Linked DNA regions of Drosophila melanogaster. The protein of the gene in region 1 interacts with the protein of each later gene in a pairwise test. Each region holds a gene or a part of one and is shown on either strand. Other genes may lie near its edges.

Region 1 (3,760 bases):
GTGAATCAGCGAAGCGAGCAGAGCAGCAGCAGCAACAACAACAACAACCATGTGGGCAGCGCTTAAGGCTTTTTTTTTGTGTGCACGAACGTGAGCCTTTAGCCCCCCTTTCCCACCACTGCCCATTGGCGTGTTAACTTGATTTTTCTTGGGGCCACGCAAGAGCGAAACACGAAAAACAAAGAAAATGCCCCACAACAACAACAAGGGCAACAACAAAAACAATGCAATTACAGCCGGAGCAACAGGCGCAGCAGCAACAACAACTCACGATTTTCAAGATTGCTCACAAGAGCAGGGGCGTAGGCAGGACATGAGAAGGGGTGAGGTTACCAGGAGTGAAAGGAATTCCTTACTATATATACTTGTATATAACAACGATCTAATCTTCAATGAAATGCCAAAAAAAAGATAATTTGCTTTTTGTTAAATAGGAACGATAATGTAGGATTAAAAATTTAAAGTATTTATTGTGGTTGGGGCAAATAACCCCCTTCGACGCAAATGCTTACGCCCGTGCAGAGAGGCGAAAAGAGAGCTGGAGAGTGATATCAAGGGGGAGGTGGGCGAGAGAGTGGGCGAGTGGGAGTACGGAAGCATGGCGAGAGCGCGGTGGGAGGGGGTAGAGGAGCAACGAAAAGGGAGCAGCGTGACCAAAGCGTAAAAGGCAACAACAACGGCGTAGCCAGCGCCAACGCCGCTGTCAACGTCAACGTCGACGTCGAAAAAAAATTTATTGACGTCCGAGCAGCAGCGCTAAAGTAAAACCGTGCGCCTTCAACTTTTTTTATTCGCATTTGCTTTTCTTCTTATTTTTAGCTTTTTGTTGTTGGTTTCCTTTTTATGCAAGTATATACATATGTACCTTCGTACATATGTACATATATCTAAGTAATTGACTTTAATTATTGGCCGCTTCTTTGGTTATTTTCCATTTTCAGGGCGATCTTCGGTAAAATGCCCATAAATGCCTGAAAACCCGCGATCGTTTTTTATGGAGTGTTAAAAAATGGCTTGCAGGTGAAAAATTACTAATATTCGCGTTTTGTTTAGTATAAGCCTTTACGATAAGCCATATACGACAAATTTGACTAGTTTTCGATTTTGAAAACGTAAACATGTTTCTCATCCTTCATCCTGTGATTTAAATAATTATTAAATTCAAATAAAATTAAATAAATTTAAAGCATTCAGCAATTAAGAGATAATCTTATACATACATACATATTCTAAATAACTAACCATATTTAAACAGGAAGAGACAAACTCACCTTTATATTTTTTCGCATCCGACTTATATAATCACTTTTGAGTCACTTTTGGCTGCCTAGGATAGCGTGTTTTCTTCTAATTTGTATTCCATTGGCGTGGGTAGTGGGGTTCTGCCCCTGTGATATATGGAGCCAGGTTCCCAGATCCGCTTCGAATGCTTTGGGCTAGGCTCCCGATTGCTTTGGTCTCTCGGTCTCGAAATATTGGCGATCGTGACTGCAGCGCTTAGTTATCTTATTTTGTTGTTTTTTTTTTTTTTTTTTTTTTGCTATAAAACTCGTTTGTATCGGATCCCCTCACACGTCCACAGACACCCACTCGACTTGGTCCGTGTGGAAACGGCCTGGTTTATCGGTCTCGGTCGGTCTCGGTCCCTGGCTTCTATCTTCTGGTCTGCGGGATTGGTTCGTCCGTGTTCAAGGCACGAGCATCTGGCCATGTGCATTGTGTCCTATCTGTGTGGGGAAACCAGTATGTCGCTGTTTGCGAATGGGGATTGGGGATTTGGGGAGCAATGCTCGGCTTCTCATTACCCAGGTGTTCGAACTTTTCGGTGCGTGTGTGTGCATATCGTGTATGTGGATACTTACTCGAGCTTGCAGGTGCTTCATGTGGCTGGCACGATATTACGCTGGGCGACGTTATTCTAGGCATACTCATAAAAGTTGTATATATAATAATATAAATTATACCTGCTTTTAATATTTATAAAGTAATGAATGCTATGGCCGTAGGAATTGTGCATTTTCTATCTGAAATATACTCATTTTGAATAGGCACTTTCTTGCTTTAGGTTTAGTATCTTATGTACATAAAATATGGTCAAGTTCACTGCCCGCGAGATACTTTTTACTTAAGTCGCTATTTATAATCTAGTTAACATATTTATTTAATTATTTATATAGTAGTTAATTGTTTAAGCCAACCAATGAAAACAAACAATTTGATCAATTGAAAAAATGTGTATTTCTTTTTGGATCCTTTTTAAGTATAACTTTTTTTCTTGAAACTATGTAAATTCGCTTACGATAATTAGAATCGGATCGTAAATCTATATAATATATGCGTTACTATATCAGTAAGGTTTTTGTGGGATACGCGCAGATATCCGCGCTAAATTGGATCACATTATAGGCAATATAATGCTGGATATATTATTACACATAAGCATAGAATAAACATATTTGGCAAAATTGGGGTTTTCTTCCTAATATCTAAGGGGTGAGGTGGCGACTAAAAACAAAACTAATGTACGTCGATTATTAACCGAAACATTGGAAATGGGAAAACATTCTATAACACAAAGATCGAGGCAATAAACTCTGGCTATATATAGTATAGTGAACCTTAGGCTAACATATTAAAACCGATTGATTCTAGGGGTGAAGGGAAGTGCGCAGCGTTAAATGATATGCAAGATGGTTTAGAACTTCAGACAAACAACTTAACTATGTACAACAAAGCTACGATCTAAAGTTAAGCAAGTCGGAGGATCTTTTGAAACTCTCAACTTAAGCGTGTGTGTGTAATTGGTTATTTCGGGTCGATTTTCTTAAACAAAAATCAAAGTACCACTAATTTATCTTTTGTCTCTTCCACGAAGATTTGTTTTGAACACTACGGGAAATATACATTTTAAACCATTTTTAATCCTTTACATATTACACCAAAGGTATTCTTAATTCAATTTTCTTTCTAAAAAAATATTGCTTGTGGTTTTTATAACAAAACCTTTGGTTGAGTTTTAGAACTTAAAAATGATCAAGCTATGCAATTTTATTCGAAAATATTTTCTAAAGCATTCAAAACAAATCAGCTAAAGTGCAGCAATGATTAACTTTTGGCTCCTGAGATTATAAGCATTTCTTAGAATTTCCTAAAATCGACCCCTAAACTAAGTTAATCTGTGTATGTTCTTAAAGCTTTTGCGGCACATCTTTGCTGACGGCTCCCGTTCGCTCGTGATTGACCACAAACTTCTTGGCGCCCGACAATCCCTGCTTGTTAATGTAGAAGCTCTTTTGGGCCAGCGGCGAACCACCGCCATCGGAATCAACCACCAGGCGATTCAGGAAAGTGGCAGCCGTCTTGGCACCACTATCGCAGGAGGATGACTCTATGCTAATGGTGGAGCATCCACCGATCGATGAGGTCTCACTTTTGGCATCGTCCATCAGAGTGGCATCATCCACCAGGTCGTTGACCAGCACCTGCGTACTGGACGATGCGGTGGACACTATGGAAGAGGTGCGACTGCGGCAGGAGTGCGTCTCCGATTCGGGTATCGAGATACCCTCGTCGATGCTTTGGCTCTGACTGCCGCCGGAAACGAGGCACATGGCTGCCTCCAGATTGGGACCGCTGCCAACACCTCCGGGCGAGGCGGAAACAGGCGACGGACATCCCGAGCTGCTGCTATTGTTATTTATCCCATTTCCGCTCACCGAATTGCTTGTGCACAGCTTCGAGATGAACAACTTGGGCGTGA
Region 2 (3,760 bases), on another chromosome or scaffold:
TAATGATAATTGGGTGGGTGTAATGAATACATTTGTATTAAATTACAAGTACTAAATAGATTAGCTGCTTATAGTTGTTCTTGGTAATTAATATAAGCTATTATTATTAAAACATATATGTGTACTCACGCAGACGGATGACACGTCCATGTCGTGACCGAAGAACATCTGCTTGTGGCCCTCCTCTCGCACATCCCACAACTTGGCAGTTTTGTCCACAGAGCCAGTGATATAGGTCTTCATATCTGGCGAAAGCGATAAGCCAGCGATATCACCAGCGTGTCCATTGAAATCCATTGTCTTGACACCCTTCTCCAGATCCCAATGGCATCTGTTGGTCATAGGAAACTTAGATTTTACTCCAAAAAGTTAAGCAAAGCCCTACATTTTCATATCTCCCGAGCCGGTGATCAGATGGCCATCGTCGAGGAAGCGACAGGAGCTGAGGAATCCCTCGTAGCCCATCAGCTCTTTGACCATCTTGGCCACTCCGGAGGCATCGCGATTGTTCACATCGTAGACGGTGCACTGGTTGTCCATTCCTCCGCAGGCCACAAAGTTACCCGACGGCGAAAAGGCCACCGTCATTACCCAGGCGGATCTCAAGGGGATGATCTGCACCTTGTTGGCGGTCCAGGTGTCCCAGATGATCAGCTTGCCGTCCAGCGATCCAGTGACGCAGTGCCGCGAGTCCCCGGCAAAATGCACCGAATTCACCTTGTTGATGTGGCCCTTGAGAATCTTCTTGGATGAGAATCGAATCTTGGGCACATCCCCCATGTCGCCGCATTTATCGGCCAACGTGCAATCAGCCTTGCTTTTTTGGTCATCCTGAAAGCAAAATCATAGTAATGAATGACAATTTTTATTACAAGAATTTCCAGAATAAATGTTAGAGACGCATACAGTTTTCGATTAAGTTAAGTCACTTAATTTTTTCAAAATTGGAAATAATGTGTTCGACTATTATCGAGATGAAATATTATGGGAGTAGTTAGCACTGAAGTATGAAATCTGGCAAGATATTTAAAACCCAATCATATTATCATACATATTCCAAAAAGTTATATTAATATTTTTTTGTTAAAATTAAATTAAGGACAACGAATTTCTTTTTAAGCTGGCTATCGGTATTTTTAGAGTATTGTTATTTTATATGGGGAAAACTTTTTTATGTTACTTTTGTTGTTGCTATATTTATTATCTGATATTTTTAATTTACTTCGCTGTACGTTGAGTTTATTTAATTCACCTTAAACTTCTGTATCATGCCATTGATTTCGTCGTAGAGTTTTTGTGTTTCTGGGTCAATTTTCGGCATTATGGAGCATTAATTATATAAGGACGGCTGCAATATTTGCCAGAAGAAAGTTTCTAGTTTTGAACCGCACTGCGTCGCACAATAAACTGAGAGTTAAACAATTTGTTTTGCCTGAATGTTATGATGTTTTCTTTTTTCCTTAGCGGTAATGCAATTAGCTAATTGGATTAGCCGTTAAATACAAATGTATAGAAAGACGATTTTTTGGCGCCAAAATTTTAAAATCGAACATATGAGCGGGCTGCCAACTTATCGAAATGGTGTGCGCCTCTTGCAGCACTGGACTGTTCAGGGTGACCAGGTCGGTGGCCACCAGATGTTCCACTCAATGTAAAAAAGATGCTTGTATAGCCAAGGCGAAACTGGTCCCTCTAATTACACAACTCTCCAGGATCAGCTGTTCGGTCACCTCATTTTTGTTTTCCCTGTTTTTATTTATAACAATTGCCCATATTAACACACCGCCAGCATGGACACCAAGTAGGGAGCGCCATGGAGACGCTGCCATGTGCCAACCAGCTGCAGGAGCACCAGCAGCCGCAGCAGCAGCACGTGAATCTCAGCATAGATCCTAGTCTGGGTGAGAATGTGGTCAGCATTCCCAAGGAGCTGATCCTCATTTCGCTGGTCTCCCAGGAGCAGTCGCTATACAATCCCAAGCATCCCCACTACCGCAGCACCAAGATCAAGGACGAGAAATGGCTGGAGATTGGCAGCAATGTGGGTTGGTCCGGTAAGTGAACGTTTAAGTTTCCCCACCAAAAAGTTGGCACTTAATCCCATTTCCACAGACGTCCAGTGCAAGTCCAAGTGGAAGGCCATGAGGGATCAGTACTGCCGGGAGCTGAAGCGCGCCAAGGCCTGCTCAAAAGCAGTGAAGTGGAAGTATTTCAAAGAGCTGGATTTCCTGCGTCCATATGCGCTGGCAAGAAAGTAAGTAGCACGTGGAGCAATTCAAGTTGGCACCGCCATGCTGACTGCCAATGCAGACTATACAGCATATGGAGCTATCTATCACTAGTTCTGTTCTTCAGGCTTCCAAATGATATGTCCGTATTTAATTAAACCCACAATTCTTTAGTTACAGAGGGAGATCTGGTCAGACTTCCAATGGCGCCGTGGGTACGGTGACCCCCTTATCGCTGCCCATGACTACTTCCTTCAGCAGCAACAGCAGTAGCCAGAATCTAAACCTTTCCGGCAGCATTAAAATTGAGGATGCCAGTGCATCCACGCTGCTCGACAGCTGCAGCTTCAGTTCGCCTAGTTCAACTGATAAGAAGCCGGCAGCCACTTTCTTGGCAAGCCATATTGGAGCCGTGCTGCAGCAGCAGCAGCAGCAACAGCAGCATCAGCAACAAATGCACTCGCAGCCGGAAGCGAACTGGAACTATCTGACGGATGCGGGAGGCGGTGCTACTCCATCAATCATAGTGCAGTGTGGAACCGCCAACACAACCACGGTGGTAGACACTCTCTACAACGAAATAGTGGACTGCGTCAATGCCGCCAATCAGTCGAGCTCGGCAGCAACAATCACGTCTAATGTATCCACCACTTCAGCAGCGCACAATCAATCGACGAACGCCGAGGAGGAGGACGACGATCCCATACACACATTTCTCAACATGGAGAGCTACTTCGAAAAGGAACTGATCACGCTGATCCAGCAGGAAGACATGATCTACAACTACGGCAACGAGAACTATCGCAATGCCAAGCTCAAGATGGAGGTGTGGGAGGAAATCGCCAGAAAACTAAAGAAGTCGGGTATGTGGTTGATAAACTTAAACAGCCGAAGGATGAAGATGATTTTTCAAGCATTAACTATTTTAGTGAAACAGTGTCGACTGAAGTGGAAGGCTTTAAGGGACCAATACGCACGCGAACACAAGCGATTGAGGACACTGATGCACATAGATGCCACATCGCGTTGGAAGCACTATAATTCGCTCAGTTTCCTTCAGAAGTACATACAACAAAAGACGCTGTAAGAGAGGTTTTGTTTATTTTAACATAATCATATATTGATAACTTTTTACTCTTCAGGGAAAGCGATTCGCAACTCAGTATGCTGCTACCCAAAAATGACCCGGTGAGGGAACTCGAGGACCATATGACCCAGTCTCACTCACCGCCCACGCAGCAGATCACCCTAGAGTCGTCTTCGTCGAATTCCCAGCTTAACTTGCCCACCCTGCCTCATTTGACGGGACCACACAAGGCTGAGCAACAACAACAACAGCAACAGCAGGAAGAGCAGCACCAACAGCAACAACAGCATCAGCAGCAACAACAGCAACAGCAGGCAAGTGAACTCTGTGTGGCCACCTATGACGACATGGACATCGAGAATTACATCAACGGAGATGTACACCATAATGATGATGATGTGGAAGACGATGAGGATGAGGAGATGGAAACCACAACGGCGGCGGA
Region 3 (3,158 bases), on another chromosome or scaffold:
GGCCAAAAATCAGACTCAGCATGTGCGCATAAAGCTCAAATAAACTCAAGTTGTTGACAAAGGGGTTAAAGGCCATAATTGTGGCCGTCGGCAGAAGGGGTTAATATGAATGGGGTGGCCTAACGCTTCCCCATGGGGAACCTTCCAAACGTGCCAGACTGAAAGTGGAATTTTCATTGGATGTGTAAACAAAACCAGCGGGGGAAAATGAGCCAGATGATCAAGTCTGAAAAGCTTTCGGTACGGTAGCACTAAAGTGAGTTTTTAAGGGGATATTCTCTGCTTTATGGCCGTGCTAATGTATTTTTTTTTTACAGAATAAAATTAGATTTTATGAATTTGTATGAAGGACATGTTATTTTATTATGATTTGCTTATGATTTATTGCAAATCTCTGAGACTTCCTGAGGTTTCTTGTAAATTACTATTTATTATGAGTTTATAATAAGTTGCCAATAAATTCAATTTATTGTTCCAATTTCATTAATAAACTTCGAAGTTTTTTTCTAAAACTTTCTCAAATATCCTTTTCTTCTTATTTTCCTCCAAGGTTGCCTTATCTACCACCAAAAGATTTCTTTACAAAGCTAATAAAATGTATTACCAAACTTTTGCAGAAGTTCTTTGAAAAGCAACTCCATAAAATCAAATTTATGTATTACCTGCATTGCCCCCTTCTATTTGCTTTCCCCCTACTTTCCAGCTTCTTTTTTACTCATTTCCTATATCGTTTTAGCTCCCTGAACTGCAGGAGGACAAAACCTCTGGTCGCACTTTAAATAAGCATTAAATTGATACAGCATAAAGTTGTTTCCTTCTCTTAGCCCGCTCTGTCTACCCCACTCTTTTGCTCCCAAGACGCACTCCAGACACACTCTAATCGCTTTATAACTTCTAACGCAGTTTATCAGAGTCGTCCGCAGCCCGTGGCCCCTCATCCCTTAATTCCAACACCCCCAAAAGTCATCCTTCCCATGCCATTAAGGCGGCTCAAAGGCAAAAGTTATTGTCACGCACTGAAGTCGCCTTCATGTGGAGTTGTGTGGTGCACTGAGAAAATCATTGGTTTTTAATAACTCGGCTCAAAATTATATTACATCAGTACGCAGGCTCTAGTCTTACAGTAAATATCAAATATTCTATTAATAAGATCAGTTAAAAAAGCTACTTTATTTTAGCAACATTATGAAAAGTTAACATTAGTTTACAGGGAATCCCTAAAATCATGTACCTATTTTGAGAGATATCCTCTTCATGGTAAATAACTCATACTCAATACACTGATAAGATTGTCAAGCTAAAGACGAAAATATTATGCAAGTGTTGATAAGAAGAAATTATATCAAGAGATTGTTTCTTTCTGTGCAATTTTTTTTATTGAAATGGTCGAAAGGGGGTATATAAACACCTCCACCCATGCCAATCTTCATGCAAAAGCTTTCTGGTTATTGCCTTCCTGCTCGCACTTTCTCTGTGCTTGTGTTGGGTGTCTTTAGTGCCTTTTTGGTTTTCCTCGCTTTTCTTCTTTCGTACTGTATTTTCTTATTTTTTGTTTAGGACTACGTCTGGCAAACAAGGCGGAAATTATTGTTGGCGGGGTCTTAAAGTTTTATTTTACCTTTTACATATCTATTTGTCAGCATCCTTTTTTTTGCAATATCAAATTGATGTTTTGTCTGCGAAATACTTTTTGTTTTTTCTTACATCTGCTATTACTATTACTGTCATTACATTCGTTAAGAATGAAAAGAATAAAAGCGCTTAAATGTTATGAATTAGTCCGGTGAGTAATTCCCGATCCATGATTGCACAAAAACATTGCTATCTTTATAGCCCACTTTGAGTATTAGCAATAGAATCGAAGTGAATCCCCAGTGAGTCAGTCGAATACACACCCCCTTCGATAAGATAAAGCAGCACAACAATAATACTATCTGAATTGTCAAGCTGTTCAAGTGGGATGTGTATATAAACTGGTCATATCAGCGGATGGAAAGGCAGTTAGCATTCAACAAGCAACGAGAGCAGTTTTCGAAAGGAATATATCAGTTTGATAAGGATTAAAAAAAGTAAAACATTCAAAATGTCGCCGCCACATCACGAAAATCGCCTGTTTGGAATCCACCTTGGCCTGAATTTGGGTGGAGGTGGACATCATCACCACCACCATCATCCACCGCCTCCGGTGCACCACTATCACCCACCGCCTCCGGTGCACCACCATCACCACCACGGACCTCCAATGCACCACCACGGACCCCCGCCGCACCACCACCACCACTACGGACCTCCGCCACCGCCGCCCCACTACGATCATCATCATCATCACCACGGCAGCCACTTTGACCATCATCATGGTCCTCACCATGGACATCATCATCATCACTGCTAGTACAATGGAATGGAAGGAAGGTCTTAAAAACCACAGCCATCAGGTGGCGAAATAATGAAAGTGTTTATAAGCGAATTTAATTTATTACATAAAGTGTACAAAAAACAAAACCAAAAAAATCATTAAAACCACTTAGACTTATACAAAGACATTTTTGAATGCTAGTTTCCTTGGGGAAAGTAAAAATAAATAAATTAAGAAGTACGATGATAATTCATGTAGAATTTTTTATATATGTATGTACTCGTAATGGATTTCTGCATTCCAAAAATACGTGTACTGCGCACTTAGTTAACAAATGTCCATACGATAAAGTATAAAATAACAACTAATCTTATCTTGATTGACATGACGCAAAGATTTCACCAAAACGTAATTGAACGATTCTCTATACATATAAAGCTGATTTTAAAGCCAAAGGAATCAAGAATAATTTTAAAACTTAATAATTCAAGAAATTCTAATCCAATAAGAAGATTATTGGCAACCACAAACACAAAACAAGACCACCCACGAAAACAAGTTTGTAAGCCGATAAATACAAATGAAATTAAATATAATTTTAGTACGGCTTAGATTCGCTTCGGGTGGGTCAAACAAAATGTTTGCCAATTACAAACCCATTTCGAAACGCTTTTATTTTTCTGCGGTTGTCACAAAACGCTAATTAGACAGCAGCTACCATATAGAGTGGGTCTCTCAATACCCGTATATATTTGTCTGTGGGTTATGTGGCCTGTCATAAAATATAAAATGCTGCCCCCGG

The links.
Region 2: the proteins of CG4496 (region 1) and CG8765 interact in a two-hybrid assay, tested with the Drosophila melanogaster proteins (one large-scale study listed by BioGRID).
Region 3: the proteins of CG4496 (region 1) and CG13482 interact in a two-hybrid assay, tested with the Drosophila melanogaster proteins (one large-scale study listed by BioGRID).

The regions. Positions count from the first base shown.
Region 1 is NT_033779.5:7,188,214-7,191,973, forward strand, and holds the start of CG4496 (uncharacterized protein), read right to left. Parts: upstream 1,798-3,760; 5' UTR 1,272-1,797; intron 1-1,271. Other genes in the region: CG4497 (uncharacterized protein), read right to left, coding at 3,189-3,760.
Region 2 is NT_037436.4:19,685,289-19,689,048, reverse strand, and holds the start of CG8765 (uncharacterized protein), read left to right. Parts: upstream 1-1,695; 5' UTR 1,696-1,813; coding exon 1,814-2,054; intron 2,055-2,112; coding exon 2,113-2,254; intron 2,255-2,402; coding exon 2,403-3,091; intron 3,092-3,157; coding exon 3,158-3,311; intron 3,312-3,370; coding exon 3,371-3,760. Other genes in the region: Gbeta76C (G protein beta subunit 76C), read right to left, coding at 130-331, 386-831, 1,253-1,321.
Region 3 is NT_037436.4:14,327,354-14,330,511, forward strand, and holds CG13482 (uncharacterized protein), read left to right. Parts: upstream 1-1,992; 5' UTR 1,993-2,083; coding exon 2,084-2,392; 3' UTR 2,393-2,532; downstream 2,533-3,158.